Cricetulus griseus: one gene and its partners. The protein of the gene in region 3 interacts with the protein of the main gene of each other region in a biochemical or structural test. Links are inferred from orthologs where the notes say so. Each region holds a gene or a part of one and is shown on either strand. Other genes may lie near its edges.

What was found. The genes of interacting proteins can lie anywhere in the genome.
Region 1: of the proteins of Lnx1 (region 3) and Pbk, one has a biochemical effect on the other in vitro, tested with the Homo sapiens proteins (2 studies listed by BioGRID and IntAct, with this or other methods). The link is inferred for Cricetulus griseus from reciprocal best matches to the Homo sapiens genes LNX1 and PBK.
Region 2: of the proteins of Lnx1 (region 3) and Abca1, one has a biochemical effect on the other in vitro, tested with the Homo sapiens proteins (2 studies listed by BioGRID and IntAct, with this or other methods). The link is inferred for Cricetulus griseus from reciprocal best matches to the Homo sapiens genes LNX1 and ABCA1.

The regions. Positions count from the first base shown.
Region 1 is NW_023276807.1:220,802,355-220,812,964, reverse strand, and holds the end of Pbk (lymphokine-activated killer T-cell-originated protein kinase), read right to left. Parts: intron 9,186-10,610; coding exon 9,092-9,185; intron 8,167-9,091; coding exon 8,024-8,166; intron 7,285-8,023; coding exon 7,115-7,284; intron 5,879-7,114; coding exon 5,749-5,878; intron 3,669-5,748; coding exon 3,492-3,668; intron 2,866-3,491; coding exon 2,666-2,865; 3' UTR 2,039-2,665; downstream 1-2,038. UniProt on the Homo sapiens protein: Phosphorylates MAP kinase p38. Seems to be active only in mitosis. May also play a role in the activation of lymphoid cells.
Region 2 is NC_048595.1:90,697,736-90,708,345, reverse strand, and holds part of Abca1 (phospholipid-transporting ATPase ABCA1), read right to left. Parts: intron 8,814-10,610; coding exon 8,616-8,813; intron 7,949-8,615; coding exon 7,743-7,948; intron 7,190-7,742; coding exon 7,013-7,189; intron 6,615-7,012; coding exon 6,392-6,614; intron 5,019-6,391; coding exon 4,797-5,018; intron 3,860-4,796; coding exon 3,655-3,859; intron 2,573-3,654; coding exon 2,459-2,572; intron 1,264-2,458; coding exon 1,092-1,263; intron 149-1,091; coding exon 17-148; intron 1-16. UniProt on the Homo sapiens protein: Catalyzes the translocation of specific phospholipids from the cytoplasmic to the extracellular/lumenal leaflet of membrane coupled to the hydrolysis of ATP.
Region 3 is NW_023276807.1:141,129,319-141,139,928, forward strand, and holds part of Lnx1 (E3 ubiquitin-protein ligase LNX), read right to left. Parts: intron 7,210-10,610; coding exon 7,007-7,209; intron 3,795-7,006; coding exon 3,423-3,794; intron 1-3,422.

The sequences.
Region 1 (10,610 bases), about 80 Mb from region 3:
TATTTTGAATTTCCTATTTGTTAATAAGATAGCAGAAATCATTATCCCATATCCATTTACATAAAATAATTCTATAACTTTTAATATTTTAATCCCTTAGGAAATTAACTAAAAGCACACTTAAGACTGTTTTGGGTACTGTTATCTTCTGTTTTTATTGCATGAAAATGCTGGTAGGTAATTAAAGTCATAAACCAAACAGGTGAACCTAAGAACATAATGACCTTATGGAATATGCTATGCACCTGAGTGTATTCAGATTTTCTAGTATAATTTGGATACTCATTTGCAAAGCGAAAAATTAATCAGGTTGTTTTCATTCTTAAAGATCATTTGTTTCTAGGTTGTATTGCTCATTGTAAAATTGGTTCATCTTTAGTCTAATTTACCTGTAATACTTCCAAAAAGAATGTGGAAGTGTTAAAATCATCTGTAATTACACAAAGATTTTAATGCTATTTTCTGCACAAAATCTTTTTAAATGTTATATTATAAATTTTATTAATATTATTTCATTGTTCAGATTTGTGAGAAATCAATTATAGTTGTTTTTTATAATTGTCATTATTAATATGTTTGTGTGTGCATGTGTGCATTTCAAGGTGCCTATGTGGAGGCCAGAGAACAACTCTTGGGAGTCAGTTCTTTCCTACCATGGGTTCCAAGGATCCAAGTCAGATGGCCAGGATTGTGCAAGCACTTTTATCTACTGAGCCATCTTCCTGGCCCAGAATTGATAAAATCCTGTTAATACTCTCAAATTATTTTTATCATACATATCTTTGGGAAACAAAAAACAAAACTAGAGAAATAGTATGCTGAAAGAAATAGTTTCCCTATTATCTTTGGGTGTAGATACATTGCTTCAAATGAGTTTTGCAGCTTAATTCATTTGATGTCTTAGGTTTTAAATATACATTGTGGTTTGCTATCGACACATTTGCTATGTTGCAATTTGTTTCACACACATAAGAGGTCTTGGTATTTAATAACAGCAATGAGTAGATGTAACTCATGTACTTAGATCTTGCTTCTAATACCTTTTCAAAAAAATCTGGAGTTGCTGGGTCAGAGATTATACAGAATGAGCCTACATCTTGTAATATCAAAAAGTTTAAAAAATGAGTACTTTTAGCAGATAACCCTGCCAACAATAGGAACAGCTAGTAATTGGTCAACAGTCAGTGTCACCATGTTGATATTTGGTGGTTTGCTGTATGAAGTCCTTATATAAGCCCATGTGAACATGAAATAAACATCAGACAACTCCCAGTTGAAGTCTGTTGCACAAAATTTCTAAACCATCATACCCTGAAATTTAGTAGTCATGGGGTTGTGACATCCCTGAGTGTGGCATTTGAATGGGATCTTGGAACAGAAAAAGTAGTCACTGAATAATAAATCTGAATAAAGTATGGAGTTGAATTGCATGTCAGTTCTGGTTTATTGTGACAAGTATAGTTATGTAAAATGGTATGTGGAAAATGGGGTGTCTGTAGGAACTGGGAATAAATCTCAATGAAAGTGCCAATTCATGCTTTATGGTCTGTACACAGGACCTGTCACTTGGGCAAACCTATTAAAAATGATAAATCAGAGAAAAGGTAGGTAAGACTACTGAATCTTTGGGAGACAGAGGCAGGCAGATCTCTGAGTTCGAGGCTAGCCTGGTCTTCAGAGAGTTCCAGGACAGTCTCCAAACCTACAGAGAAACCCTGTCTGGGGGTGGGGGAGATACTGAATCTGTGCACATTTACACAATTTTTCGATAAGTAAACTTTGACTTTGCTGTCACTTTCCTGCTGTTTTGATGGACAATATACCAATTAATGATCTGTTGCTGCATTACCTAAATTCTGTCTGTAGTCAAGTCTGGGTACACCACCTGGTTTCACCAATTGAATTCTGGTAATTCCAAGGAGCTATGACTCAAACAACTGATCCAATTTAACCTCACTTCATACATAAGAAAACAAGGTTTTGAGAAAAAGCACATTCATTCCATAAGTCAGATGGCAACACAAACAAGAATAGAATATTGAGGTACCAAAACTATCCTTTATTACATCACAACTTTAAAAGTAAAAACAATACATTAGCATGAAAATATATTCAATAAGTTAGACACTAAGATGTGAAGAGATGTAAAGTAGCTGCAGCCAGGGTCTGAAAACCTTAGGAACTACTCTCCCCTGCTCTAAAGATACAGGGATATTTAATAAGCACATGGGCCAACAGATCAGCTAAAGCTGGACATTTGATGAGCAGATGTAGATAAACTCTGCACAGTATAAAGTGAAATTTTAACAACTCACTAAAGAGAATATCTAAAAATATCTTTAGTAAAGCAATGATCCCCTGATTCTAAGTCATCTCAGGGTGACTAGTGTTTTAAATCAGTAGGAGCAGCATCTAGGTACTCTGGAGAGTTAGGTTTTTTTGTTTGTTTTTTGTTTTTTTTTTTTTAACTTCACAGACTATCCAGTACAATAAATGCTTATAAGAAATAACATGTCAGAAAATTATGCAAATATTAACTATATGGTGATCCTAAAATTAGCCACTTCCAGAGTTTAGACACTCTGCAGGTCATAGTAACTAAGTGTGTCTGAGTTAACAGTTCACATACAAGCTATGCTTCCTGCTTAGACCGCCACAAAAAGCATCATTGGACATCTAGTTCCAAAGCTTCAACGATGTGTGCAGCAGAAGGACGATCTTTAGGATCCTCATTAGTACACACGGAGAAAAGTTCAATGACCTTCTGGTATGATTCATCAAGTTCTTCCATGTTGATGGATGGTCTGGTCCCCAGAGCTGCATAGTATGCTTCATCATCAAAGTCACTCTCATCAAAGGTTGCATCTGCACACGAGGGAGTTAGAGATGGAAACAAAATCATGTAGGTCATAGGATAGCTCAACAGCTTACCCTCCTGCAACAAGACCGGGTTATCCAGTGTTTCCCTATACCACAGGCAGTCTGTTCAACGTTCCTGCCGCAGAGATTAGACATTTTCTCTCCAGCAAAAAGGAAACTTTTCAGCTAGATACCCTACTCAGCAAATGTAGATATATTAAAGAAAAATGAGGTATGTCATTTTGGGGGTTGGGGAGATGGCTCAAAGGTTAAGAGCATTGGCTACTCTTCCAGAGGTCCTGAGTTCAATTCCCAGCAACCATATAATGGCTCACAACCATCTGTAATGAAATCTGGTGCCCTCTTCTGACCTGAAGGAATACATGCAGACAAAGCTGTATACATAAGAAAAAAAAATGAGAATCCATGAGTGGAGGGGTTACAAGGGAGGAATACCCTTATGTATCTATTCTCAATAGGTATCTCATTTGTATGAGATTAAATCTAGCCAAATTAATCACAGTATTACTATAATCTTAATTTGCTTTTTGAATTTTAATGGGAGGACAGTTTTATGCACTAATTACCAGAAAGAAACTCCGATTTATGTTAAAACCTATTTGTATTTATACCTTCATCATCATCATCCTCTGGAAGATTGATGTGTGGAATACATAAAGTCATCATTTCCCACAGAGTAAGACCAAAAGCAAACATATCTGCCTTGTCAGTAATAATGCCATTTTCATCCAAGGCTTCCTTGGGTTTCCAGGGCTCCGTGCCAATATAACAGGCCTCAGGATCAGTCACTGAAACACACACACAAATACAAAAATAGTCATAAGAACAGGTGTTAAGGATTATGGAGAAAGGCAAGCAACCAACAAAACAACACAAGCAAAACTCCTTTATACAGGGAGTTCAGAAATTAATCACTATTCAACCTCACTATAATGGATCTGTCCCTTATAAGACTAGAAAGTATTAAAATCTCATCAGTTGGTGGGAATATAAGAAAACAACAGTTCCCTCAGAAGGTAACAGAAATTTAGGGTATAGATAGATATCAAAATTCCACTCAAGCTAGACTATCTTGCTTATAAAGGCATTCAAGCTGGGTGACACAGCAGACTACTTTATGTTTAGGTCTTGGATTTTCTGTAAGCACAGAGGTTGAACACCAAATGGCATTTCAGGACTTCCATGATTGCTACATCAGGAAACCCAGAGAAATAGTCACACACTGGCCTTTAAAGTATTGCATGCCACTCACAGTCCCTTAGTCTAAAATTTTGTCAGCTTCAATTGAAAAAGCAAAAAACAACAGCAAAAATTAATTAGGAAAGGATAGGCTAGTAGATCAGTCTTCGAAGAATTAACATCTCAATATTATCAAACAGTATGAAACACACAGACCTTTCTTTCACTGTCTGGTTCCATCTTAGTGATATTTTATGGTTTCCAGACTTAGAGGATTTTTTTTCTTCTTAGATTTTTAAATATCTTGGGGTTTTAGCAGTTATAAATGGAATTTTTAACTTTTCATTTTCTTATTATTTACTAGTATCAATTTTCTTTTAAAATCAACCATATGAGATTCTTTCTAAGAATGTTTTACTAGCTATTTTTGGATTTCCTAGTTCTTATATCTATTTTGATAATTGCATTTTTCAAGGAAGCTGTCATTTTATATAAGCTGTTGTATTTGGTGGAATACAGCTGTCTGTAATAGTCCTTATACATGTGTAGAATGTACAGCTATGACCCTCTTCATGCCTGATATTAGTGGTTTTGTTCTTTCTTTTCTCAGTCTTGGTGAGAATTTTTATTTTTCTGTATAACCAGTTTGGGCTTTATTAACATTTCCCAGTGACATCTGTTCCTATTTTATTCCTTTCATGGACTTTGCTCTTTCCTGGCTGACAAGGAAGTGCAGCCAACAGTAGTACCTTTTGTCTTTTAAATAATCACTAATAGCTACAAGTTTCCCTGGGAAACTAGTGACTTTACATGTTGTATCATTTTATGTATCAATTCAAAACAGTCTCCAAAACTGTGGCCCAATGATACCCCAATAGGTATGTAAATTTGTATTGCTAACCCCCCAAAACTCAAGGTTCTCCCAGATATTTTGTTAGTAATCTCTAATTTAATTCCTTTGTCCAGTAAGGAATTCTGTGACATCTTCCTTAAGGCAAAATTTCCTTTACATATTTAAAAATGTTTTCTCTAATTAGAATAAATCAAATTCACTGGACAGTGTTAAAGTACATTACACTAAAAATATAATCTTTCAATATTTTATTACTATAACCTCCATTTTACACAAATAAGGATAGAATTGAAAACAAAATGCTTAGCACTCCTAAACAATAGGGGGAAAAAACAAGCAGTTTGTTTAATTAAAGAAGCTTATCTTTGAAATTCTACTTTGAGGCTCTCAATAAATTTACAAATAGAGAAAGAAACATTTGAAGAGGAAAGAAAAGATGTACTAGTCAATCCTGATTAGCATGATTGGATTACAATGCCCAGAAGCTGGGGGAAGCTCTACTCTGGTGGGTGTGTCTTTCCCAAAGTTATTCAGGTAAAATCCATGCTGGTGAGGACCAGTGTGGTCACAGACTAAAGACTGTGAGAGGATTGAGCCTGAGGCCATCCTAACCTGACCAACTTCAAACAAATCAAACTAAGACAAAAAATACACAGATACACTACCAAGAAGTCAATAACTGGAGCGGGGAGCTCAGAGGAAGCGAAAACACCTGAAAGATGCTCTGTATTATACACTTTTCATGAAGTTCATTTAAAATATGTAGGTTTACTATGTTTTACAATGCAAAAATTAAGAGTTCAAAAATTGTATGAATTTAAAACAATGCTACTTACCAGTCATATTTTCATCCAATGGCAGAGAGACTCCTACATCACAGATTTTAATTGTTTCAAAATCACCTTTAATTACAACATTTGAAGACTTTATGTCTCCATGAAGCAGCTTCTTTTCTTGATGCAGATACTAAGAATTGTAAAAACATTCAAATACATGAGCAGAAAAAAAAACTGCTAAAAATTCTTTCAATAAAACAATGACTTGAGCTAGGCAGTGGGGGCATATGCTTTGGGAGGCAAAGGCAGAAGGATCTCTGAGTTCAAGGCCAGCCTGGTCTAAAGAGAGTTCCAGGACAGCCAGGGCTACACAGAGGAACCCTGTCTCAAAAAAACAAAAAACCAACAAAGACTTGAATTTCCTTTGTAAACTGGACTTATTTATCTATTTCAAAGTATTTGAGGCTAGGAAGGGAACATGCCATGTCATTTAAAAGTTTTCTTTACGATGTCTGAATTTTCAAAGCTGACTTCAAAACACTCCAATTTCACTTGAGGCCAATAGTTTTAAATTTTGAAATCTTCACAAACTTATCTCAAATTGTGATGTAATGCAGGTGACTTGGGTCCACTATAATTCATAAGCAGAAACAGAGATGTATTCTATATTATGTTTTTACCATTAACTGCTTTGGAGTTGTCCATAATTATAGTCACATTTTGAACAATGCTGCAATGGCTGTTCATTTGTCAGCACTTGAGCACTATACTATACTATACTATACTATACTATACTATACTATACTATACGCGCAGCTTAGAAAGGAGAAGCCACTCTTGCTGTGATCTGCCCTTCCACAGGAGCCTCCTATGCATACTTAAATGCAGCCCATCATATGGTGAATAGGCCCCAACACGGTTACATTATTAATTTCATTATACATACATACTTAAAGCCATCAGTCAGTAAAAAACTCAGATGTTTCTATCCTTTTTATTTTTGTTAAGATAGTGTTTCTCTATGTAGTCCTGGCTGCCCTAGAACTTACTCTGTAGACCACCCTGGCCTTGAATTCAGAGATCTGTCACGCTGGAATTAAAGGTGTGTACCATCATGCCTGGCTCTATCCTATTTAAAGGTATCTATAAATGTAGTAAATTGTTTTTACAATGCTTTTTTTTTCTCAATCTGCTCCATAAACCAATTTCATATGAGACCTTAACATGTAACCCTGACATCACTATCATGACACTGCGAGTCATCAGTAGTTTTCTAGAGTCACTATTACTAGTGTTTAATTAATATATTCATTTCTTTTCTTCCGTCATGTTGTATCTATCAAAAAAAAAAAAAAACACAGCAACACAGATATAACCCATGTTTAATTTCTTCATAGTTCACCAAAACTATTTAAAATATATTTACCTTTAGCCCTCTTGCCATGTGCAGAGCAACTTTGAGAATTACAGCTGCTGGAAAAGGACTTCCACTGTCTTTGTTTCGCTCTTCTATTAAGTCATTCAGAGACTTTTCACCTCCATACTCCATAGCAAGGCACAGACTGCCATCACTGGCTTCAGTAAAGGCACGGTACCCTTAAGAAAATGTGACAGTTTTCTATGAGACTCTGGAAACCAGGGCTTATTTGGTAATATATCTTGGACCTGGTCTAACACAATAAAATACAAAATTAACCCACAGCTAGAATTTAAATGCCTTCAATGTGTCTAGCACCACAGATCAAAATAGTTTTACTATGCTTTCGTAAATAGAATGATTCCACCAGACGAATTAGTACCAAAAATGAAAAGTGAAGACAAGAACCCATCTAAATGAACATAAATGATCTAAATGAAGATCAGTTTAAGTCCTGAAATCTTTATCTGCACAAAACGATTACACCTCAACTCCATGAAGGTTGGATACAAGCACTTAAAGATCTAAGATATATGGATCTTAAGATATATGATCCATATATATATGGATCATATATATATATATATATATATATAATATATATGCGCATCACATGTGTGCCTGGTGCCAGTGGAAGTCAAGACACTGGATACCCCATGGATGGTTGTGAGCCACCATGTGGGTGCCAAGAACTGAACCTGAGTCCTTCACAAGTGCAACAAGTTCTTTTATCTATTGGTCCATCTCTCCGGCCCCTTACGTGAATTTTTACTTCAGACAATTCACATTAACTTCCAATAACATCCAGACCAACTTTATTTTTATTAGCAAAACCATTTCAGAATGTATCTATATTGTTTCTAATGCCACAGAACATTGCACTGCCACATAACTGCCACCAAGTCAACCTGTACTTACCTATGATGTTTGGATGATTAAGGTTTTTTAAAATCTTAGCCTCATCAGTCAGTCTTTTCTGATATACAGTTCGGTAGTGATCATTACATAAAGGATTGATCTTTTTCACTGCCCAAGGAGAATGAGACAACCCACGTGGGGATCTAAAGTATAAACACATAAATTTAAATGTAAAAAAGGAATAAAAAACAACACCATCCTCAAATTGACCCCATAGAAATATGTATTTAAAAATACATAAAATTCTTTAGATCATCAACACCTGTTACATTTCTGTTTGGACTAAGTCAGTGTCTTGATATCTAAGCCCCGAGAAGGGATTAAAGGAGAAAGATAAAGATGAAATGTTACAAATTTATAAAAGTACAATTAAATTTGAAAGTGGCTACACTATTTTCTAACATTTCTATTCTGGCATGTCAGTCACTATTTTATCAAACATTTTACCTTTATGTATCAGAGATGAGTTATATAATAAATACTAAAGAAATTTAACTTAAAGAGATGCTCCAAAACAGTCTATATAATGGTATCCTCTCTCTTATTATTTGAAATTTCATACATATATGTTCTGATCAAATGTACTTTCCATGTCCCCCCAACTTCAATCCTCATGTGTTCTTTATTCGTTAAGCCTAGAGTCCACTTAGTGCATGGGTACAGGAGCATCTCCTGGAGTGTGGGTAGCCTCTTAGGGGCTGCATCCCTGAAGAGAACCGACTCTCTTCCCTATAGCCATTAACTGCCAGTAGTTCCCCATCCCTGACACGCCCTTTCACCAACAGCTATTTCAACTCCACACCAACATTTCTTCTACACTTGTTCACCACACTCAAAGCCATGTTCTCGCATCTTTCTACCACTTCACCTTCTTAAAGAAGCCAGAAGGGAAAAGGGTTAAGCTATTCCCTTTTATTAATCCACCAGTAAGAATTTAGGAGTACAGTACTTGGGGCAGAACTCTAGCAGTTATCAAGATTCTGAGAACTGGAATGTAGCCTTCAGGTGTGATGAGGAACTTACCCAATTCAGGCACAAGGACCCACAAGTTGGAAATCTTGCACTCACCTTTTCATTAGGTAAACATTGACCCCAGTCCCAAAGCCAAGCTTCTGCATAAATGGAGAGGCAGGGATAGTTACACATGGAGTCGAACATAATACTAAAAATCAAAAACAAAAGCAAGAACTTAGCACTTGAAAATGGTAGTACAAAAGAATCTTGACAGTCTTTAAACACTGTGGTAAGATTAGTAATGGCATTTTTTTTTTTTAAACAGAGTATATGAGTACCCTTTGACTAAGACAACTTCTGTAACTCTCACAGTAACCCTAATGTAAATGGCCTGTTTTTTATGGCATACAAGCTAAGAATTTAAAAAAATCTATTTAGCTATTATTGTGTGTATGTATACATGGTGTATGTATGTAGATGTGAATGCCATGGCACACATGTGGAGGTCAGAGGACAGCTTTTGAACTTGTTTTTGGACAGATTATACTCAGGTCAACACTCAACATCAGTGAGATGTTGAGCCATCTCACTGGTCTTTGTTTGCTTTTCAAGACATGGTTTCTCTGTGTAGCTATGGCTATCCTGGAACTCTCTCTGTACAACAGGCTGGCCTTGAACTCACAGAGATCTACCTCTTGAGTGCTGGGATTAAAGGTGTGTGCTTTTTTTTTTTTTTTACATTCTTTAAGGGCTATTTAAAAACAAAGAATATAGAGGCTGCTGAGATGGCTCGGTGGTCTAGAGCACAAGCTGCTCATACAGACAGCTGTTCTCTCTGTGAACTAAAAAACCTGACAAAATACAATAGCTTTCAGATGCATGATAAGAGGCAGAGCAGAGCTGTGACCTCTGAGCAAGGATGAACCCATGAAGCAAATCCTATCATCTCCCCATGGCCCTGAAAGGGAAAGGCAGTCCAGGCAGGCTCAAGCAGAGGAAACAGCCCAACAGTATGTCAAACCACAGAGACAGAGCAGAGGTCAAGGAGGACTAGGTAGCTGGAAGCTGTGGAGCAGAACACAGGAGGGAGCTAAAAGAAAATGGGCAATAGAAAAGATTTCCCATAGAGTGTGCTTGGCTAGTACTTAACTGCACACATAATGGGAAGTATTCCCCCAAGCCAGGAAAGCAATGGAAGTCTAGGAGTAGGATCACTTTACCATCATCAGCCATACCAGGCGGCACTGTAGCAGACTGTTAAGTAAAGCCCTCTAAAGGGTAACAACTCAGTACTACCACTAACTTTTGGCCCAAGCAAAGTCTGTAAGAAAGCTTAAAGGCCAGTATCAAAAGGAACAGGCTTACCATCATTCAGCCAAATAAGCTTTGGAGCTTCATGAGACCAAACGCCCTATAGAGTGACAAAATCCAGCACTCGACATAAAACATCTACCACCTAATCAAAAATTACCAGGATAGTGTGGGCACACTGAAGGATAAGTAGATGTTCTTAAAGGTCCTATACTCTCAGGTCTCAGAGGCAAGAGAGGGGCTGGAGCCTGAGAACTACATCTGAACAGCTACATCTAATATGCATTGGGAACAACACAGATATGTCCACTAGCAAGCATGA
Region 2 (10,610 bases), on a different chromosome or scaffold from region 3:
TGCTTCTGCTACTCACATGTCAAACAACACATTATGCTGGGGACAGACGCCCAGGTTCTGCCGGATGGAGCTCATCTCAGAGCGAATGTCCTTCCCCAGGATGTAGGCAGTGCCAGAAGTTGGGGGGAACAACCCAGTGAGTATTGACCTGAGGACAAGAGTAACAAATACAAAAATCAGGCAGACCCAGTCTCACCTCTCCTCAGTGCTGCAGAGTCAGGGCAGGAAGAGCAGATCATACCACTGGACACTCTATTACTTCTGAATGGAATCTAATAGATTCTCATGGAGCAAAGAGGCCATTTGCTTTAGTGAATAGCTAAGCACAAGCCTATGTCTTAGAAATGTTTCAGTAACAGCATCTGAAAAAACGAAACTCCTAATTTACAGCAGGATGTGCTCTTTAAAACATTTTACATGCTTAACATCTTGTACAAAAAAAATGAACAAATAAGAACATGTATTAAAAGATAGAAATGTTTGTGTGCATGGCAGAATTTCTGAGTGTCTTAGTCATGTGTCATGTTCATAACACACTGGTTTTATGTTGAAAAGCAAAGACAATCAGCCACCCTCAAAGATCAAATTCTGGAATGGTGGGGGTTAGGGTTAGGTATTTGGGTTAGGGGAACAGGGGGACACTGTAGACTGTAAGTTAACTGATGTTCTCTGACCCTTATTGGGTCCTCACAGGACACAGAGAAAAGAGCAGAAGAGAACTACCCGGGCCTTCTCTCATCTGATCAGAGACAGACTTCCTGGAAGTGTCCTTCTTCCTCTAGCTTGTTTAATCTTTCTTTCCAGTCTCTTGCTTCGCAGCTCTGAACCAACCCACTCAAAAATAGACCAACTCAGACTCCAAGGAATTCTGAGCAGTGCAATGGGAATGGTCATCAAAAGGTCCCTGCCTGTTTTAGACTAAAAGAAAAATATCCAGCAAAATCTAGACCTCCATGCTCATGAATAACTGGGACATTTTCTCTCACTGGGCCCCACTCTTAGCACAGTGACCAATTCGATTGTCTCAGGTCTTCATTTCTGAGATGGCATTTCCCACGTCAGATCTTGTGAGAGCCACACCCTCTTCTTACATGGTAGTGGTCTTCCCCGCTCCATTGTGACCCAGGAAGGAGGTGATCTGGCCCTCGTAAAAATTTAGCGCCAAGCCATCCACAGCCACCTTCATGCCATCTCGGTAAACCTTTACCAGGTTCTGAATGGACACACCCAGCCTCAGATGAGTAGGTTCCTCTTCCATGCAGACTGTGACAAAAGAGAACAGACAGAGGTGAGACCACAGGAAACACTGACCTAAGCAGCAGAGTAAACAAATACAAAAGTCTGTGCTTAGACCATTAGAACCTCAAATGTTGCACACAGAAGATAAAATAATTTAAGCCCTTTGGGACATGCGTGCTGATGGTAGGGATGAACTGAAAACATTAGTCTGGTGATGAAAAATGCTGTAAAAACAATTAATATACAGGGTGTGAACTGTCATTTTAAAAACAGCTAAAAGTGTCATGCATGCCCAAGAAAAAGCAGTAAATGATTAGGATACATCACAATTTGAATGGATCTCAAAAGAATTATACTGAGTGAGGAAAAGACCCACTACCAAAAATTGCCTATTATCCAGTCCCATTTCCATAATAATCAGGAAATAATAAAATTGTAAGAATCGAGAAGAGTAAAGCAGAAGAGAGAGGCAGCCATGGCTGTTAATCTGTATCATCAGTGAGCTCTGGAGTGATGAGACAGTTCTGCATCTTGACGGACAAGCTAGAGCACACATCCACATACATGATAAAATTTCCCAGATATCACAAAATGGGTGTGGAATGAGGAGTCCAGTGGTCTGTGAACAGTACCAATACCAGTTTGAAACTATACTTCAATTTCAGGTTCATGAACAGGGAACACTGGGGGGACCCATGAAGAGGACAAAGGAACCTCTTCACATACTTGTCTGGAAACTTCTTGTGAGTCTGCTATTCTAAATCAAGCAGAGACCTTTGTGTGGTTGGGTGGTTGTTCAGGAAAGAGAGCAACTGACTGCTGAGAATCAACACAGGCAGCTCAGGGAAGGGAATGCTGAGACAGCGGTGGAAGGAAAGAAGAAATGGAAAGATTGAAAGTCAGGCTAACTACTTATTCCTCCTGGCTGCATAAACTAGCACATTGTCCAAGATGGGGGAGATAAGGGTATATTGATCATACTATTCTTTCCTACAAGTGGGGAAACAAAGAAACTGCTCCTCAGGAGCTCCTCAGGACTCCCATTAAGTCAGTGCACAGGAAAGCAATGGCATGGGTGTATTTTGGAAAGGGGGTATTGCATGGGTTTTCTGCCTCTAATGTGGCTTTAGAGTATTTTTTAATGTAAGAGGGATGCCCTTCCCTGGTAGGGACAGCAGCACCAAGTACAGGGGAGTGGGTGTCAGCAGTAAGTACTTACTTTCTGATACTCCCTTCTGGCTGGAACCAAGGTGGCTCTTCTCATCAATTTCCTCACCAAACCAGTAGGACTTGGTACAAGGAAAATACCAGGGCCTGGGAATTCCATACTGTCCTGAAAGCAAAGCACAGGCATGATCCAAGCTGATGCCATCTCAGCATTTCTGATGTCGTCTAGCCAGACCCTCTCTCTCTCTCCTTGACAAGATCTTTGGGGGAAGGAATACACTGGAACTAAGGTGGAGGCAGACCACTAACTTGTGCTCAAACCCAGTATGTAGATCATATATTCTGCATCTCTCCATGGCTTCCCAACAACTCCAGATGGCAACACCATCCTCACTTTAGAGATAAAGAAAGTGAAGGACACATAGCCTATTCAAGGTCACTTACCCAGTAAATATGGATTCAGAATTTGAATCTCAATCTATATGATGCAAATTGCATAATCAATGGAAGAAGTTCAGATACGGTTAAAAAAAAAAATAAAAATTACATATAGACTCCCTTGGAGCAAAGTCAGAGGGTGAACTTCACCTCCTAAAATTTGATCTTGCATGGAAATGTATCCCAAAGAGGTTTTCTGGTTTCCTGTTTCACTTGGCAAAGAAGGTTAAGGAAAGCATCAAAATTAATTGTTCCCACACACTAATTTGACTTAAACCATGGGCAAGTGCTGAGACCTAATACATTATATTATTCATAACTTGTAATTAAGAACTACAAGCCCTCCTAGGGCTTCCATCTCTGGGGACATAACTCCAGAACTCAGGCAGCACCGAGAGGAATCTACTAGACTCTAACCCAGTGTGGTCCAACTGGGGTCATCTCCAAGCACCAGCGCTTAACAGCCTTGTGACCTCAGGCAAGTCACTTACATTCTCAGGTCTCTCATTCGGGAACTGTTTGCAATAGCAAACACTCCAGGGCAATCTTCAAAATCAGAGGATGTAAAGTACTTTGCACAGTACCTGGCCACAGGACTCAAGCATGAGGGACATGGTGGTAGTAACAGGTGTGCTTTCAGCACAGGTGACTTTCCTAGTACTATTTGCTTTTCACAGGTTTAAAGCCCAAGCCACTTCCGAGGGAGCCCCCTCATCCTTTAGCAATTGCAACACAAAGAAAGGAAAGATCTACAGGCAGAAAGGGTCTTCTTGTATCAGTTAACCAAAGCAGTCTGGAAGCGTGGGGTACCTGGAAAGACAGCTTCGATGTACCACGTCATCACTCCATAGAGGAAGGTGTCAAACAGCATCATGGACACTGCAGTGGTGAGATTAAAGCCATCTTCCTCCACCGGGCTCTCAAAGAGATTGTCCCATTGTACCCCGATGCCTTGCTCCTCAAAAAGGGCAAAGTATTCACAGCCAAATCCAAAAGCCACAGGAGACAGAAGGCTCTGAGAGAAAAAGGCAAAAGTATTAGGATAATGCCACTGTCTCTCTCATTTTTCTCTTCTAATGTAATTTCCACCTTGAGAAAGATGAATTTGCAAATTACATCAATTATAAGGCATGTAAGTATTCTCCTAGAGTCCCTTTGGAGACAGGACTCCCTTACAGCATATAAAATGATTTCATTTATAAGCACTCATTATGCACACACATTTCAGAAATGCATGCATGAGAGCAGGTGAGACTTTTAGAACTGTATGCTTCCCAAGATATTCCAAGGCTCAGCAATCCTGTCCCCCATTCAGCCTCCTATAGTGACATCAAAGACTTTTTCCCTGATCAGTCATTGAGTATTCAGGATCAGAAGAGCTACTTTAAGGTTTGACATCCATGAGACTCAGCCTGAGGGACCTGCAGCATGCTGAGAGCCTACTAATATTAGTGACCCATGGCGCAGCTAGTGAGTGGCTTTTACTGATATTCTCACATGCTCAAAGACCACACCTACACACGAGAGGAAAAAATGTCCTGATCAGGGATCTGTGGGAGGGAAAGTCATGTTCAGACTTATTCAGTTCAGAAAATATTACCTAAGTCAAATACCAAAATGGATACAAGAAAGACGAGTCATAAATGAACCACTTGTGGCCGCAAGCTATCCATGGTCATGACTTTACTGTGATCTTATTATGGCCAAAGAGCTAGAAGACAAGGGGTAGATGTGGTATCTACTGCTACACTAAATACATTCCCCAATGTCATTTATATCCAACATGTTCAAGGTACAATCTGATCTCTGACAAAAATCAAATCCAACTAGTGCTCACTGTAAGGGCGAAGGAGGAACAATTGAGTAAGAGAGGAGTTCAGAGTGAATGCCAAATCCCCAGGGGTCGGGGTCAGGAAGGACTACAACTCTGGAGAAAGACTAGCGTTACTCACAGCAAAGATCTTGATGGAGAAGCCCACGTAGTCCTGCCAGGCTACACACAGGACATATGGCAGGTACAATGTGAAGTAGATGATGCCCCCACAGGCTGCTGCCAGGTTGGCCCGGGAGAAGAGCGTGCTAATGAGGAAGCACTGTAGGATGGTCACCACGGCAAACACAGACAGGAAGACGAACACTACGCTGGGATCACTATAGGGCAGCAGGTTTCCTAACTGGAGAAGAAGAGACTGGATAAATGTGTGACCTTGGCAAGCCCAGTCACTCGCTCATGTAATCTCAATGCTAGTTTCCACTCATAATTCTTTCAGAGATAATGTAGGGGAACCACACTGTTCAGTTTTCTGATGCAGAAATCAAACCCAGGAGAAATACCTTACTTGAGACTACACATTTAAAAAAAAGCCACAGCAGAATTATGGTAAGTGCGAAGTTCAGGACCTTCTACTTGATCTCAGTGGACAATATTGCTCTCTGTTTCTCACAGAGATAATGATACCTGGCTTCTCCTCATTCAAGGACAACCACTGCCCCTAAGAAAAAGTTGTGTGGGACAACAGCCCACTTATCCTCTCTCTCCACCAACCTAGAAACAGGCCAGGCAACCTTAACCTTACCCTGGTAGCTACAAAGTCTTCATGTATGCATAAATGCTTGTGAATTTTCCCACAGGACCCCTACCCTTGTACAAGGCTTAGGTCCTTGCCCTTGGATACCAGAGTATAAATAAACAGGTTGCAAATAAATCTTGGTCTGTCATCCTGGCACGATTTAGAGAGGCTCTGGCCTGCCCTGGGAACTCCATGGGTTACTATAAGGTTACTCAGCGAGTGCTCAGGAGTAATATATATAGCTAGCATTAAGATGAATATTACATTGTCTTGCTTTGTGCTCTCTCTCTCTCTCTCTCTCTCTCTCTCTCTCTCTCTCTCTCTCTCTCTCTCTCTCTCTCTCTCTCTCTCCCTTTCCTCCCCCGCTGGAAAACACTAACTTTTATAAGAGGCAGCTTTGTATGAAATAACGATGAGTTAAGAAAGCTGAAGAGTAGATTCATGTATGAGACAAAAATTTCACTGCCCAGACTCCACTTTAAGGGAGGGCTTGCCTGTCTGCAGATAAAAGACATCCAGATGTTAGCGTCTCTGTTGTCATAGCTAGGAGAGCTTCCAGGCCCTAGAACACCCCTTTCCCTGGTGAGCCCCATCCAATGACTGACTAAATGGGAGAGAGGATGTCAGGCCTTAGGGATAAGAATTTGGGCTTCTTCTCAGTTCAATGTGGGAAACTCCTGGACAAGCTATAAATTCTCCAGAGCACCCCACTGGGTTGTTGAGACATGGTTCAATTCCTCTCTCTGCATGAGCCAGCATATGTTCCATCCCTCCAGATACTGATCCCTACTAATATCCATATAGCAAAGTCTGCCTCAGCCTCTTCCTCCAGACATCCAAACTGTAGTATAACCTTCTGACTATTGCTTTTACCAACTTGAAAATAATCCCCACCCAACACTCCTAAGGATTGACCCTGAAGTACAGTGTGGTGCAGGTAAATGTGTGCTTTTCTGGAAGGAGAGAGGCCCCTTTACCTTCAAGATGATGACCAGCAGGCCAGCACTCACAAGCAGAGGGATGAGGCTGCTGATGAACCAGCTAAACCAGAGAATACCATTGTCCAGGCCCATGATCCGCATGGTCTCCTTCAGCCGAGCCTCCTTTTCATATACAATGCCCTTGATGATCACAGCAACAGAGTAAATCCAGGCCAGGGTCATGAAGAGGGGCATGGACCGGCTCATCACCCGAAGGAAACTGGAGACACAGATGAAAAGCATGGAAAAAAGCTCTTGCATATTAGAGGGAAAACTACATTTGGGTCACCAAGGGAAGGCCCACTGGACTCTCAAATGACCAAATGTTTCATTAGCAGTAGACAGAGATGAGAACCTTGGCTGACAGAGTGCAGCCATCCAAAATTTCTTTAGGGGATCACTTTAATAACTAGGAAATAGTGGGGATAATATTAAAATAAAGGTAAATTACTTTACTAAGTACTAAACACTAAAGGAGGGGACAGAGTCCAAGGGTCAGGGTCTCTAATCACCTCCTATTGACGTGCATTCACTCCCACACTGTGCAGAAACATGCATGTACTCCACATGGAGCTGCTTGTTTAATAAAAAAACAGGCTGGCTTGTTGGTACACTCACATGTCATCAACGTAACAGGGGTAGGGCATCTGTTGCACATAGACACCCGTTTTCTTCTCAGTTCCCGTCAGCACTCTGATGATCGCTTGCTCTACCACATCCTGCAAGTAGGCGAAGCCCCCCCAGACATATCGCATATCCTCAAATGGGTCAGCCCGGGGACCAGGGTCCCAGTACCTAAAAGCAAACAATAGACATACTGGAAAATCCAATTACCCACATTTCCCACACACTTCCTTGGCTACTATTCCTATTTTTTAATCTATTCCTATTTCAATTGATAAATACATAGATTCTTGAATAGAAATAATCACAATGAACACACTCCTTATGGTATATTTTTTCTTTTCTCCTTAGGTATAACGTTACATCAGATAGACATACTAAAATTTCAACTACCCACTCCCTTTTATCGCTTGTCTGCTTCTTTTTATAAAAATGTGTCTGGCTAGCACAGAGACCCCCTAAAGGCTTTTCTTTCTTTCTCCTGACTTTTAAGTCCTTTCAGTTAATCTTTTGAACAGGAATGCTGAAACGGAAAGACTAATATTTTATGGCCTTTGATTAACAGTCCCCAGCAATGCAGTTTTAGCCAAGTCATGCTGCTGCTACTGATTTGTTGTTGAAATTCCTTCCAAACTGCTAACAGAGAACCAACAGTCATAAAAGCCATCTAAATTATCTTCTTGACCTTTGCAACACTGGGCTTGTGTGATGGGATTCTACTTACCCATCCTTGATCTTATTGGTCCTCTCGACATTGTCAATGTCCATTCGGATCTTGTACTTCACGTGATGGGGCAGCTCCACACTGTCAGGAGTGAGCCCTGTGAACACAATCCCAGCCCAGAACTTCCTCTCATCCAGCAGCTCCATGGACTTGTTGATGAGTCGGACTTCTGTTGGAATGGGCTCCAGCTTGTTCAGGTTGACACACTGACATAAAAGACAGCCTCATTAGAACACTGATGGCCAGAAAGACAGCTGGTAGACACCACTCAGTCTCCACTGAGAGGTGGGAACTGGTTGCCCGAATTTATCACTCTTCAGCACCTAGCCCTCTCAAAAGTAGTTTTCTGGGTTTCAACCAAGCTTAGAAATGAGATTTATGTGAAATACTGAACATTACTTGTATTGTTTCTGTGAGGGGAAATGATCATATTTTATGCTCTTCCATTTTCTTACCAATGTTGAGTCACAGCAACTAACCACTTAAAATCAGATAAGGAAAAATTCTATCAGCCCTTTTCCTTTCCATCATTTTTAGGGTTAGTTTTACAGTTCCAAATTAGATTAGATAAGTTTCATAAACAATGCCTTTATAAGAGAGCAATTTATTACCATTAGAATCTAGAATACCAAAACATGGGAACACCGAGAAGATAATGGATAGAAACACTGGAGTCTATTTGAAGTAACGCTGGAAGTAAGCTTATTTACTTATGAAGCAGTTCATCTAGGGTTTATCTTGTCCGCCGGGCCTGCAGGATATAGCTGTACATGATACCGCACATTCATTCTAAGCTCTCCTTCTGCCTTTAAATTTACTGCAACATTTCAAAGGACAAAGCCCTTTGAAAGGATGTGCACAGCAGAACCTCACCTCCATGAAGCGAGATATCGTCTGGATTGCCTGGTTGGTTTCATTGAAAGCTTCTCTCCATGTATACACGGAGCCATTTGGAGACTGAACATCCTCTGGGTTCTTGGCCAGAAATGCCATGATGTCTTGAGCAGTCCAATCTAATCCATCCAACTTCTGTTCCCAAAATCGATCATTGCCTCTGCTGTCCAACAGTGTCTGTCATTCCAGGAAGAACGTGTAAATAGGAAACATCAAGTTCATGATAATGAGCACTACAAGGACACACCACACTTCTTTTTATAGGCTCAGGCTCCGTTTGTGTGGGACACATTAATAAGGCTTCTATTGACAAAGAAGAAGACTGAAGTTGAAAACCCATGACTAATATTGGCCAAGATGAATTGATGGGCTGAGACACAAAATCAGACTTCTGAACTCACAGTCCATAGGTTTCCCACTGTACCAGACAGTGGTTAACTGTTTTAACTCTAACAACAGTAATATAGTGTGCTCAGGGATCTACAGGCATCATAACTCACACAACTCCATGACGGTGTAGCTTTGATACTGCCCATTTCACACACAGGAATAATCTAGCTGATGAATGGGAAAGCCAGGTTTGAAAACATAGGCTCGCTGATTCTAGTGTACCACTGCATCGAATCTCCCCTCTCTTTTGAGACATGGTCTGATGATGCCAAATAAAAACCTCATCTCTAGGCTGAGCCCATGTTTAAGGCTTAATTTACGGAAGAAATATTGCTGGTTAATCCAAGTAAAAGACGGTCTTTCCGAACCCCAGAACAAATGGGTCATGATGAAAAGGAGGACTGTTTCCCATCACCTGTCAATGTCAAAAAGGTCACAGGTAAGCCATTCTGGTCCTCAACCAGCCAGTCCAGGGAAACTGGGGCAGCAGCCTGCACAGATGCCCTTCCAGGAAAATTGGGCAACTGCTGACTGAGCAAAATGGAAACATCTGTCATGCTCATTTACCAGTTTCCAGGGGAAGCAAGAGGCCCTTGCTCTACCGAGCTGGATCTCCGAAAGCCCAAGAACACCATCCTTAATCAGTCTTCTTTTCACTAACCTTGCAAGCTCTTCCCCTGGGTGGCTTCTTTGTTGTTTTAATGGGAACGTAATGATTTTACAGACTTTACCTACTAAAATTTCATTAACTATTCCTGTACTACATAGCATTTAGTCTACCTCCAATTTCCCATAATAACAATTACAGTAATAACATTTTCTCTCGCATGATGACTTCTTTTAAAATTATTGCCATAGGATGCATCTCTGGGGGGAGGGGTGGAACAAAGGTATATAGCACATGACTCATTCTTTGTGGATTTTGAAACTTCCACTTCAAATTGCTTTCCACGAGTGAGTAACAATGCACACTGTCACCAGTGAGGTACCAGTATAATTTTTTGGTTAACAGATACAAAATTGCACCTCACAGAAGTCCAGAGGCATGAGTTATCAATTCCGAAATGACTTTATTTGGATACGTGGACATGAATGAACAAATAAGAGCAGAGAGATGGGATGGTGGCATTTGGGGTGAGCCCTCCCCAGTGTGGCTGCTAAACAGTATAGGGCATCCAGACCAAGAGGACATCAATACCAAATGAGGTCACTGACCCTATGGCATCTCCAGGGAGCCTGAAAGGAACAGAAGACCTGACATTTCACACAAAGTACTAGACTAGGGCCTGGAGATGAGGGGCCATGTCCAGTTCAGAACAATTTTAAAAAAAATCTCAGGTTAGGTCAGTAGATGCTTAGACTCAAGAGGAAAGTGTCTAGGATCTGCAGGATGTACAACACAAAAAGACAGAGCCAGAAGCAGGGACATGGGAGCCTAAGGCAGAAAAGTAGGAGCTCCAGGCATCACCTTGTATAACAGTCACAATGCTGAGGACTGAGAAACCCAAGGTGGTGGATTAAAGTAGTATTCCTTAGGTCAGGGAAGAATGCACTGGAATAAAGCCCCTCTGATTTCCACTGACA
Region 3 (10,610 bases):
GTTTACCTGCTGTGTTTCTTGCACTGACTCTATAGACTTCAAGAAGTCTCCATCTTCTCTGGCATGCTGCACAGTGTTATTCTGTGCAAACACATGGAATGGAGGCGGGGGCAAATTGACTGCTGGATATCACCAATGTGCTCTGTGGGGTGGGTAGACTCTGGGCACAGTCTAGGTCCACAGGAGAAGCATATTTGCAAGGGCAGTGCCTTGACACAGGCAGATGAGGGCTGGAATAGGACCTACAGAATCAGCTGTTGGGACAGCTACCTTCTACTTTAGTCTTCATTCACTCATAAGGGGTTTTCTTGATCATCTCTTCCTCCACCTTAAGATAGAGTCTTTTAGGAATAAGAAAATGAGTGGTGATGGAAATACTGCTGATGAGTTATGCAGGATCATATAGATGTCAAAGACAAAGTCAAAATAAAAATGTGGTTCCTGGGTCCCTGAATCTGTTGATTGCTGTGTCAGCATTCCTCTGTCTCAGCCCCACTTCTCTTCAGGGACTTGGAGGTTGCTACTCCCAGGATTATTTCTCTTCCATTAAGGAACAAGCCTGTGGGGGATATTGTGTTGGAGAAAGGCAGTGGGGTTTCCAGGCCCTTTAACACAACTGCACAGAAGATTCATTCTCATAAAGTTTAACTTGAAGGGCTGTATTGATTTCCAAGTATCACTTTCTCAAGAAAATAGGAAATTTAGAGTCCTATTTGGTAATCTCTTAGGCTTTGAGATTTGAGCATAAGGAGATTTAAGTTTAGTCTACATGCACTAAATTTACTCCAGGACCCTGGTAAGACAATTTATGTGAACAGGGGTTGGATTCCACATGAGCTGTGCTGATCTGCACACACACAGATCTAGCAGGTCTTATTTCACTGGCAATTCTTATTGGCTCCCAGGGACTTGAATGTTTAAATTACCACAAAAGTTCTGCCTTTTTCTTTCCAGGTACAAAGCACAACTCATGAGCTGGAATCCTGTCTTTAGAGTAAACGTGGGTAACATGAGCCTGGCACTGTTTACTTTTTGGCTCTGTCTGAAGCCCTATCACATTCTTTTTAAAAGTTTGAACAGGCTGATTTTCAGTTCTTTGGTGAAATAACTGTATTTTTAAATATTATTTCATACAAGGAACAAAAATCACACATATGGCAGTGTTACTGTATGCCCCTACTTTTCCCAACCTCTATAAATTGATTTGATTTTTTTTTCAGTTTCTGGGGTTAGCAAGGAAAATAGATAGGGGGAGATGGGGAGAAGGAGAGAAAGAGAGAGTGGGGAGGGAGGGAAAGGAAGGGAAGGAGGGAGGGAGGGGTGAGGGAGGAAAGGAGGGGAGAGAGAACTCATGGATGGCTACTCAATTTAAAAATTCATAATTGCTTTCTTTGTTGACTGTATATACTTGAACTCCTAAACAAACATAACTCACTAATCTGAGTTGCATATGGATGGGAATTCCTCAAAACAAGCATTTCTCTTAGAATTCCTAGATTCTTGTGGTGATAACGGTAATATGCTGACCCTCTGGGATACAGATGTGGAGACATCTTTTTTTCTCTTTGATCTGTTATCTCTTTGTTCTGTTATCTCAAGTATGACATCAGATAGTTCCAAAAAGTTTGTTTTCCGTATACTTATTCTAGTAAGTATGATTAAAAAATCTGGAGGGATTAACAATGGTGGAAACCAGCATGGTCCTTGTTAAGATGCTAAGAAGCCCATTGTTCCATGTAGGAGGTGTCTTTCTCTTGAAGACTTTTCTTCTTAACGGACCTTGACTCTCTACACTGGGGACTTGTCTACCCAGGCTGCTGCTGAATATGATCAGGTTAGGGGTTCAACATAAGTAAAGTTGGTCCAATTTAAAACAGTTGTGGCCTCTGCAATAACTCTTTCCTGAAGTAATGTAGGAAGAAAAAAAAGTGTAGTTTGATGGGAGAGAACATGGCCAAGAGGACATGCTGTCTGGGAATTTCTTTGTGAGGCAAATGTGATTCATGGGGGTGGACACACATGGGCAGCATAGCCAACGGCCGGGGCCGGGTGGCAATTTGAGTCTCAGTCTTTGAAGGGTACTTAGTTTAATCCCTTCAGCCTGGTGTGGGTTACAAATATTGCAAAAATAAAATGTACTCTTCAGAGACAGCAAGCCATTACTTAGCTTTTTTTAACAGCATTTATTTTTTTACGTTTCTTTTCCAGCGAGCTTTGTCCTAGACTTTCTGAAAAAGTAAGTTTTCTTTCTGCTTATAAAGCAGATTGGCTTTGTTTAGTAAGCAAAGGGATTTTTTTAAAGGAATTCCCACTATTAGGCAAGATTCTACTTCATACATTGACTTTCTCAGGGAAAAACATGTTCTTCTGTTATTAATCTTCAAGAGTAAAATGCCATGTGTAATCAAGTTTTTTCCCAATAACATAAAAGTTTTTCTTTTGCCGATTGTGAAAGTACAGTTGGCAAAGAGCTTCAGAGTGGGAGTTGCACTAGGTGGCCTGCAGAGGGGGCTAACAAGCATAACATGAAAAGAATATTGACAATTGCTTAGGGTCTAGGTTTTAAAGATGAAAAAAAAAAATTAAGCTAAGATAGTGTCTTCCTGAAGAAAAAAAAGGGACTTCTCTTTCATGTGTGACTGTTTCATCTTTTTTTTTCTAGTCTAACTCTGCCTTATTGATTGTACAAAATCAAGGACAGGAAGTTTTCAAGCTCTGAGAAGCAAGTGACCATGGCTACCTTGTTAACACTGTACTGGGCACTGCTTGGTACATAAGGGCTGCTCAACCAATGATAACTGACCAAAGTCAAAGGGATAAAAAGTAGAGGTTACCTCATAGGGTCAAAGAGCATGTAAAAACAAATGTCAATCTGGTTCTGTGGTAAATGGTTTGACAAAAATAATCCTTCAGAGAAGGAATTGACTAAAATGTAATATATATATATATATATATATGTTTATAATATGACTAATTTATTAGTTAAGTATTTACATATAATAAACACTTATTCATCAAGTGCTTAACCTTGCTAGGCATTGTTCCAGGTACTTTTATAATATAATATGCTTCTACACTTTTCTAGATAGGCAGGTAACCATAAAATAGGAGCAAAGCAGAACTGGAAGACAAAGGTAGGGGAGGGAGGGAAGGAGAAGGAGGGAGGGAGGGAGAGAGAGAGAGAGAGAGAGAGAGAGAGAGAGAGAGAGAGAGAGCACACATACACTGTAAGACTATCAGCAAAGGTCATGACCCGAGGTACACCATTTGTGTCATTTGGGCTCTTGGACAGTAGCATTGAAACTGCCAGCCCTTCCTTGACTTCCCCAGAGGGAGGCTCCAGTGGCACACATGATAAGGGGCCAAATGTTCCTGCTTCTGCGGGTTTTTTGACTGGGATCTTAGGGTGACTTCTGACCCACCTGAATCAGATGAGCTGCACTTTCTGGACTGCCAAATCGAAGGTCATGTCCATTGATGGCCAGCACACGATCATTCTCCTCTAGCTGGCCATGTCGGTCAGCGACACCCCCATTCAGCACATTGAAGATGAACACCCCAGGTTCGTCCACCCTGCGCACCAGCTTTATGCCAAGCTGCTCCTCAGGGCTGCTTTTGTTGAGAATGACATGGAAGCTGTCATCCCGAGGTCCATAGGACTCCAGTGCCTGTCCATTGCTTCTGCTACGGAACTTCTGCTCACGCAGCACTGTGAGCTTCAGCACTTGGCAGGGCTGTCGAAGGAGCCGCAGGGCGTAGTTATGAGGGACGTTGCTGATGTCCATTCCATTGACCTGGGGGTGGGGCCATTCGACAGTGAGTGTACCTACCATTAGCCTTCTGAGAAGGTCCAGGCCAGCATGGGTTTGATCCTCAGCATCACAAGAATCAAATGAATACAAGTCCAAGTCCACAGAGTAACCAGGATATTGTCCCCTAGCCTGCTTCTCTATCTCCTTTTATTCTGTATTCAAAAAGTCTAATTTTCCACAGTAATTTTCCCTCCTCTAGGGCGCAGCACTGCCTTCCTTCACCCATGTACTTGCACAGGCCCATATGACAGTGTAGAATCCTCCTGTTAATTTCTGTTACCTGCCAATTTTAGTTTTTTAGTTGATACTGAAGAAAGAAAAAAGTTGAAAGACAAAGGCATTTTCTTATTCTATTCAAATGACTGTGTGTGTGTGTGTGTTTTGTTGTTGTTTTTTGAGACAAGTTTTCTCTGTGTAGTCCTGCTGTCCTGGAACTCAATTTTGTAGATCTGACTGGCCTTGAACTCACAGAGCTCCAGCTACCTCTGCCTCCCTAGTGCTGGGATTAAAGGCCTGTACTACCACTGCCTGGCTCAAATGACTATACTCTTAAAATGAGGTGCACGCAGAGCACAGGCCTGGCCACTGATCTGCACCCCAATATTAGATGATGATATCCAACACTATTTAGACCAAAACAAGTTGATTGTTTTTTTGAACAAAATTTTTCTTACTGAGTTACCCATACTTTCACCTCCAATTACTCTGTGGTGTGTGTGTGAGGGGGTGGGGGTGGGAAGAGAGAGGGAGAGAGAATATGTGCTTAAATATGTGTTTGTATGTAGAGTATTTGTGTGAATGCCCCTGAACATGTGTCAGTGTTTCATGTTATAGTATATGTGAGCATGCCTGTGCACATGTGAGTGTATTTGCATGCCAAAACATCTGTGTGAGTGTGCCTGACAAAATGTGGATGTCTTTGTATGTTATTATATTGGTGTGAATGTGCCTGAGTGTGTGTGGAGTGTGTTTTCACATTATATTATCTGGGTGAATGTACCTGAGTGTGTATTTGCCTGATATGGTATCAGTGAATGTGCCTGTGTGTGTGTGTGTGTGTGTGTGTGTGTGTGTGTGTTTTATGATATGGTATCTGTGAGTGGGCCTAGGTGAATGTGAGTTGTATGATATGGTACCTGTGAGTATGTCTGGGCGCGCGCGCGTGTGTGTGTGTGTGTGTGTGTGTGTGTGTGTGTGTGTGTGTGTGTGTGTGTATGATATATAGTATCTATGAGTGGGCCTGGGTCTGTGTGAGTGTGTTGTATAATATGGTATCTGTAAGTGGGCCTGAGTGTGTGAAGGGGCTGTTGTATGATACAGTATCTGTGAGTGGGCCTGAATGTTCATCTGCAGGTGTGAGTGTAACAGTGTGTATAGGAGTGTCAGGTACTGAGACGGATGTCTGCAAGGTCTTCTGCTAATACTCTAACTATAACGGACTGTGGGGCTTGAATCATTTCAAATAAGCTAATGCACAAGAACGTTTCTAGGCTATTTACTGAAAGGCAGAACACTATAGCCCTCCTTAACTATACCGAACCTGGGCCTCTCAGTGGGGCCTCACTAACCATCCACAGGGCTGCTGCTGCATCTGACTTTCTGGCTTTAATTATCCTGGCTCCACAGGCCCAGCCTGGAGGCTACAGCCCTCAGTGTTTGTCACCACTCTGGAAGAAAACAGTTCCCAGCAGCTCTGTACTCTGCTTAGATTTGGGAGTTTGCTAAGAAGATTGCTGTACTTGAAGCCAACTGTTAGAGGCACATTGGAAAAATGAGCTTTGAAAGGACCTTGTTTGAGGTCAACCACTGCCTCTTGCTGAAACTCAGAGATGGACTGGGCTCCTTTAGTGAAGACAAGGTACCCCCTTGTCCAAACACAAGGGAACACTACCAGGAAGGTGACAGAGCCTATGATCAAGGGAAGTTATGGTCATCTGATATAGGTCCCTGGCATTTCTTTATCTTCAAGTTGCCTCCAACTAAGGACCAAAGAATAGAATTTTCTTATGCAGCCCTCCCAGACACAGTAGTATCCATTGGGAGAGGGAGAAAGCCCTGCTGTGATTGGGGTCCCAGTATTTGTGGCCCACTTGAGTGATGGGCCCTGCCTGGTGGACATCCCAGAGACAATGTCAACATTTCTGCAGTAACCCTTTCAATTATTTCTCCTCTTATCCCAATTAGTTTGCCAAACAAACAGCCCACGCTGAGACAGGAGTCCTCCCTCTGCTTCCTGCAAAGGGTGGGATGGAACTGTTATCTGAATATCAGATAAGAAGTAGATGAGCTGGGAAGGCATGCTAGTCCCTTTTGGCTCACATTTGGCATCTGTCTGATAAGCAACAGCTCTCCCCACTTTCTTTTTGTCCTGAAAATTCTTCTCTGAAGTCTCCCTTTCAACCATGCCTAGGAGGACAGTGTGCCCAAGTCAGGTCATTCCACCCCTGAGTCCCTGGGAATGCCTCTAGGTCATGAGACCAGATTAGAGATGGCTGTTGAGCCACAGGAGTGTTTCTGTAGAAGGGGGTCTGGACACAATTAGATCAAACACAACAGTTGCCATCAATGTGCTTATTTTATACTAATGTTTATTTTAAAAGGAGAGGCTATAGGAGGAGCAAGAAGAGAAAGAACGTGTAAAGTGGAGAAAGAAAAGGGTGTAGATGAAAACAGTAGATGGGGAGAGAGAAGACAGAAAATGATACAGTAACAACTGTAAACAAACAGTAACTGTTTATAAATGGGCGGAGGAGGAGAAAGACCCTTCCAAATTATATTAGAATTCTTCATATGAGATTTATCTCAGTATAACTGTGGAAAGTGTCTGTCTTTATTTCACTATATCCACTCCATTTGCCATCTACCTATTCTCTTATCCCCCATTTGTCATCTACTTATCCACCCTCCTACCCATCCATTTACCCAACCACACGTTCATCCATCTGCCTATGCACCCTTCCATCTAATTATCCATCCATTTACCTATCTGCCCATCTAATATTAGCTCTGAAGGATCTCCCTATTCCTCCACACATCCACTTATCCACCCATCTTTCTGCACAACCCATCTATCTATCCCTCCATCTATCCATCCAACCATTATCTACTTTTAAAGATTTAGAGTAAGTGCCTTTCATAGCCTACAGCTCATGATCTTGTAAGCGTATAGTTACACGATCATGCCTTTTGGGCACCTTGAGAATGATGTCGCCTGGCAGCAGCCGTCCATCTCTGGCAATCACTCCATCACGATAAATATGCTGGATGATGATGTGGACCAGTGGGGTTTCACTGCCTCCAACAAGCCTAATGGAGAGGCTTTCATTGGGATCCACTCTATTGATTTTGATGCTTGTAATTTCACCATCTGGAATCAGGTGGTACAACCTTGGGAAGACTGAAATGAACAAAAACAGAATTTGTTTCAGACCTTCTTGCCAAACTAAACTGTTCATTGTTCTTTGTGCGTGTTTCCCACTTTCCTGCCTTGGTGCCAGCATATATTTCTCTGCTGGAATGTTTTTCATCCTGGGCTGAAACCCAATTTTTCCTACAAGGCATGCATGAAATAATCCCTTCCAACTAAACTTTACCCCAATCCTTCTTTTCCTTGTTGTCTCTACACACATGATTCCTGTAAGGCTGATGCTACGTCTCATAGCATTCAACCTTCCATCATTGCTACCTATACTGACCTCTCATATCACCAAGTGGACTCTAGAATCTAGCAACTGGCTTCACTATCGGGCTATACGTAGCTGCCTTAACCTGGCTGTCCCAATATTGATGGTACTTGGTTGACTGCTTCGATTAATGTTTAAACTGCTTTGATTACACAGCCAAGGCAGTAATTTCTGGCTGCCCCATGCTTCTCTGCACATATCTTTCCGTACATGAGAGCCTTCAGCTGACGCTTACTGATAGAATAGAACAAACTAATGAACAGATGTCTTTAGGGAATGAACTGTGATTATACTGCTTTCTTATCAAAAAACAAAACCAGAATCTGTTCTTCTGTCCTCTTAGATTATTTTGGAAGATCTCAGACACTCCGCTTTTCAGGCTCCAGGAATCATCAGCCCTCTAGCAGATACTGCTGCCAATACCAGGTATTCAAAAGACCTAGTTCACTGTCAGGAAGAGGCCATGATCTCAGTCTTATGGCACCTTTTGGAGCATTGTTCCTCATCCACCTGGATCACTTAACTCAGTGCTAGAGAGAGAAATCAAAGATTATGTGAGTGAGCTGGTGTTTCCTAACTTTAGTATTTGACCCAACCCTGGCTGTGCCAAAGAATAGCTTCGTGGGTCACTATGCAGCTCCACAGTCCTTTATTCGTGTGTGTGTGTGTGTGTGTGTGTGTGTGTGTGTGTGTGTGTGTGTGTGTGTGTGTGTGTGTGGAAAAGCACAGAGAGGAAGCTGTAAAGTAAGGTGACCATTTCAGGAACACCAGGCTTCTGATGGTAGTTACACTCATAGCCTCATTAGTTTCCCAGGAGCTAGATGTTCACAGCCACGTCAAAATCCACAGGGACAGGCCCTTGGGACCAAGAAGCCAGAAGCACTGGTTGACACTGGTTTCCACTGAGGGGACACCAACTTCTGAGAATGTGTCACACCTAGGCTAGCTGTTAAGTGGCTCCTTTGTGTAGCTTGAAGTTCAGTTAGGATGCAGATGCAGGGACAGTCAGTGCCCAGTAGCTGCTGACAGCTGCCTTCGTTCTAAGAGTCTCCTTTAGTTTTGTTACCTGGAAAGATATACTATGAGCCTGGTTCTGTATAAGCCACTCTTCGGGACTATTTTCAAAACCCATAGCTATGGTTCATTTGTTTAAATGAACTCAACTCTTTATGAAAATTATACAGGAAAAAAAACCTACTTGCAATTACTATACAGCATAATTAACCAGGTAATGCAGTGGCTAGCGGAAGCCTGTGACATTGTGAATGTGGGTCTTAAATTCTAGGTTTAATTTAATGTCAGCAAATGGCTTCTGCAAGGCTGTGAGTAGCTGTCTCAATCTGTCAGTTCCTAGTGCTAACAGCATGTGGGTGACTGGGCTCAATTAATGTTTAAACTGCTCAGTTTGTATTAAGTAGCCTTTACGCATATGTCAGAAGATGTCTGGTATCAAGGGAATGGAAACTTTCTGAAAAATGATTTTAAGCAAAGAAAGTCTTGGAAATAATCACCAAAGCTCCCAATTCTCCCTTTCCCCTTCCTCCTTTACAACAGACATAAACATTGTTCTCCTTAATTTAAACAACTGGAGGATATCTGAGTTGATTAGAAAGGACATGCCCAACTCCACGCTCTTAAATGATGATTCTTAGAGCCAGACCAATGAGATCCTCATGACTTCAAGGGGTTAAAACGATTCTTTAAACTGTCAGATTATCTTAGTGGAGACACAAAAGAATTTGGTCAAAATTCTTTGTCTGAAGACTACATGATTTAAAAACATTCTTTTCTGGACATTGAACTAAAAAATTGAAATGCACATTTTCAGGCCTCCTACCAACCCTGTGATGGTGGCTTCTCGTCTCTGTTTCCAGGTGAAGAGTTAGGTTGGCAGTAGGAAGGAGATGGAGAGTGTAGGTTGGCCAGCAGCCGAGAGGCACGAGAAGTCACACAAGCACTGAATGGGACAGCATGGCAGGCTCGTGGTGAGAGGGCACATAGACAAGCCAGGAGACTCACAGGCTGCTCATGAACTTTCCAAGGGCAGAGTAAATAAAGTTCCTGGGACTTTAACTTCCAACTCCAAAGAGTGTTTTGGAAGGTGTCAAAAGAGCCAGATCTTGAAGTTAAAATCCTGCTCTCTCTCTCTCTCTCTCTCTCTCTCTCTCTCTCTCTCTCTCTCTGTGTGTGTGTGTGTGTCTGTGTGTGTGGTGTTAGTGGTTGTTTAGCTGTGTGACTTTGGGCTACTTGCCTAACCTCTCTGGATCATTTTCCTTATCTGTGAACTAGGAATGACAACCCTTCTTCTCAGCATTCTTATGACATATGCATGATTTAGAGCATTAGCTGGTACTGAAGAGCTGTTCTTCTTCTTAATGCTGTTATTTTACTGTATAGTTTAATAAAAACCAGATGTGGTACACGCCTGCAAGCCCAAGACTCTCAAGAGGCACAGGTAGGTGGATCACTGTAAGTTTGAGGTCAGTTTTAGACTAGTAAGTTTTAGAGTAACCAAGACTGCAAAGTGAGACCCTCTCTCACAAAACATTAATTTAACCTAAAAGCTTCAATATCAAATAAAAAACAAAGGTGGAAAACAGTGTCTCCTCAGCTCAACTTACACTGGGGAAGATATAAATCATACATGAACTAATATACAATAACTTCCTTTCTGTGGCTTCATAGGTCAACAAGGGCATTTGGAACAAGTTGAGTGACCTCTACATGCCTCAGTATACTTTCCTGAAAACAAAGATACAATGACAGTGAACCATCCTGAGAGCCACACCAATGAGATGCCAGTGACCTTGAAATGTGCCCCAGGCACATGATGATTAAATGAGAAAAGGCACATAGAACCCTTAGGGTGTCTCCTGTATAGATGTGACAAGGATACAGTACATGCCAGCCTGTCACAGATGCTTTGCAAGGGCCCACAAGATAGGTCAGTGGCTCAAGGCACTTGGTGATTGGAGTTCCAGCCTCAGGTCCCACATGGTGAAAGAACACCAACCCTCACAGGTTGTCCTTTGACCTCCACATGCACTGTGACCCATGAGTACACATGTATGTGGGCAGGTACACCCATCTCCACCCACCCACAATAAACAAATGA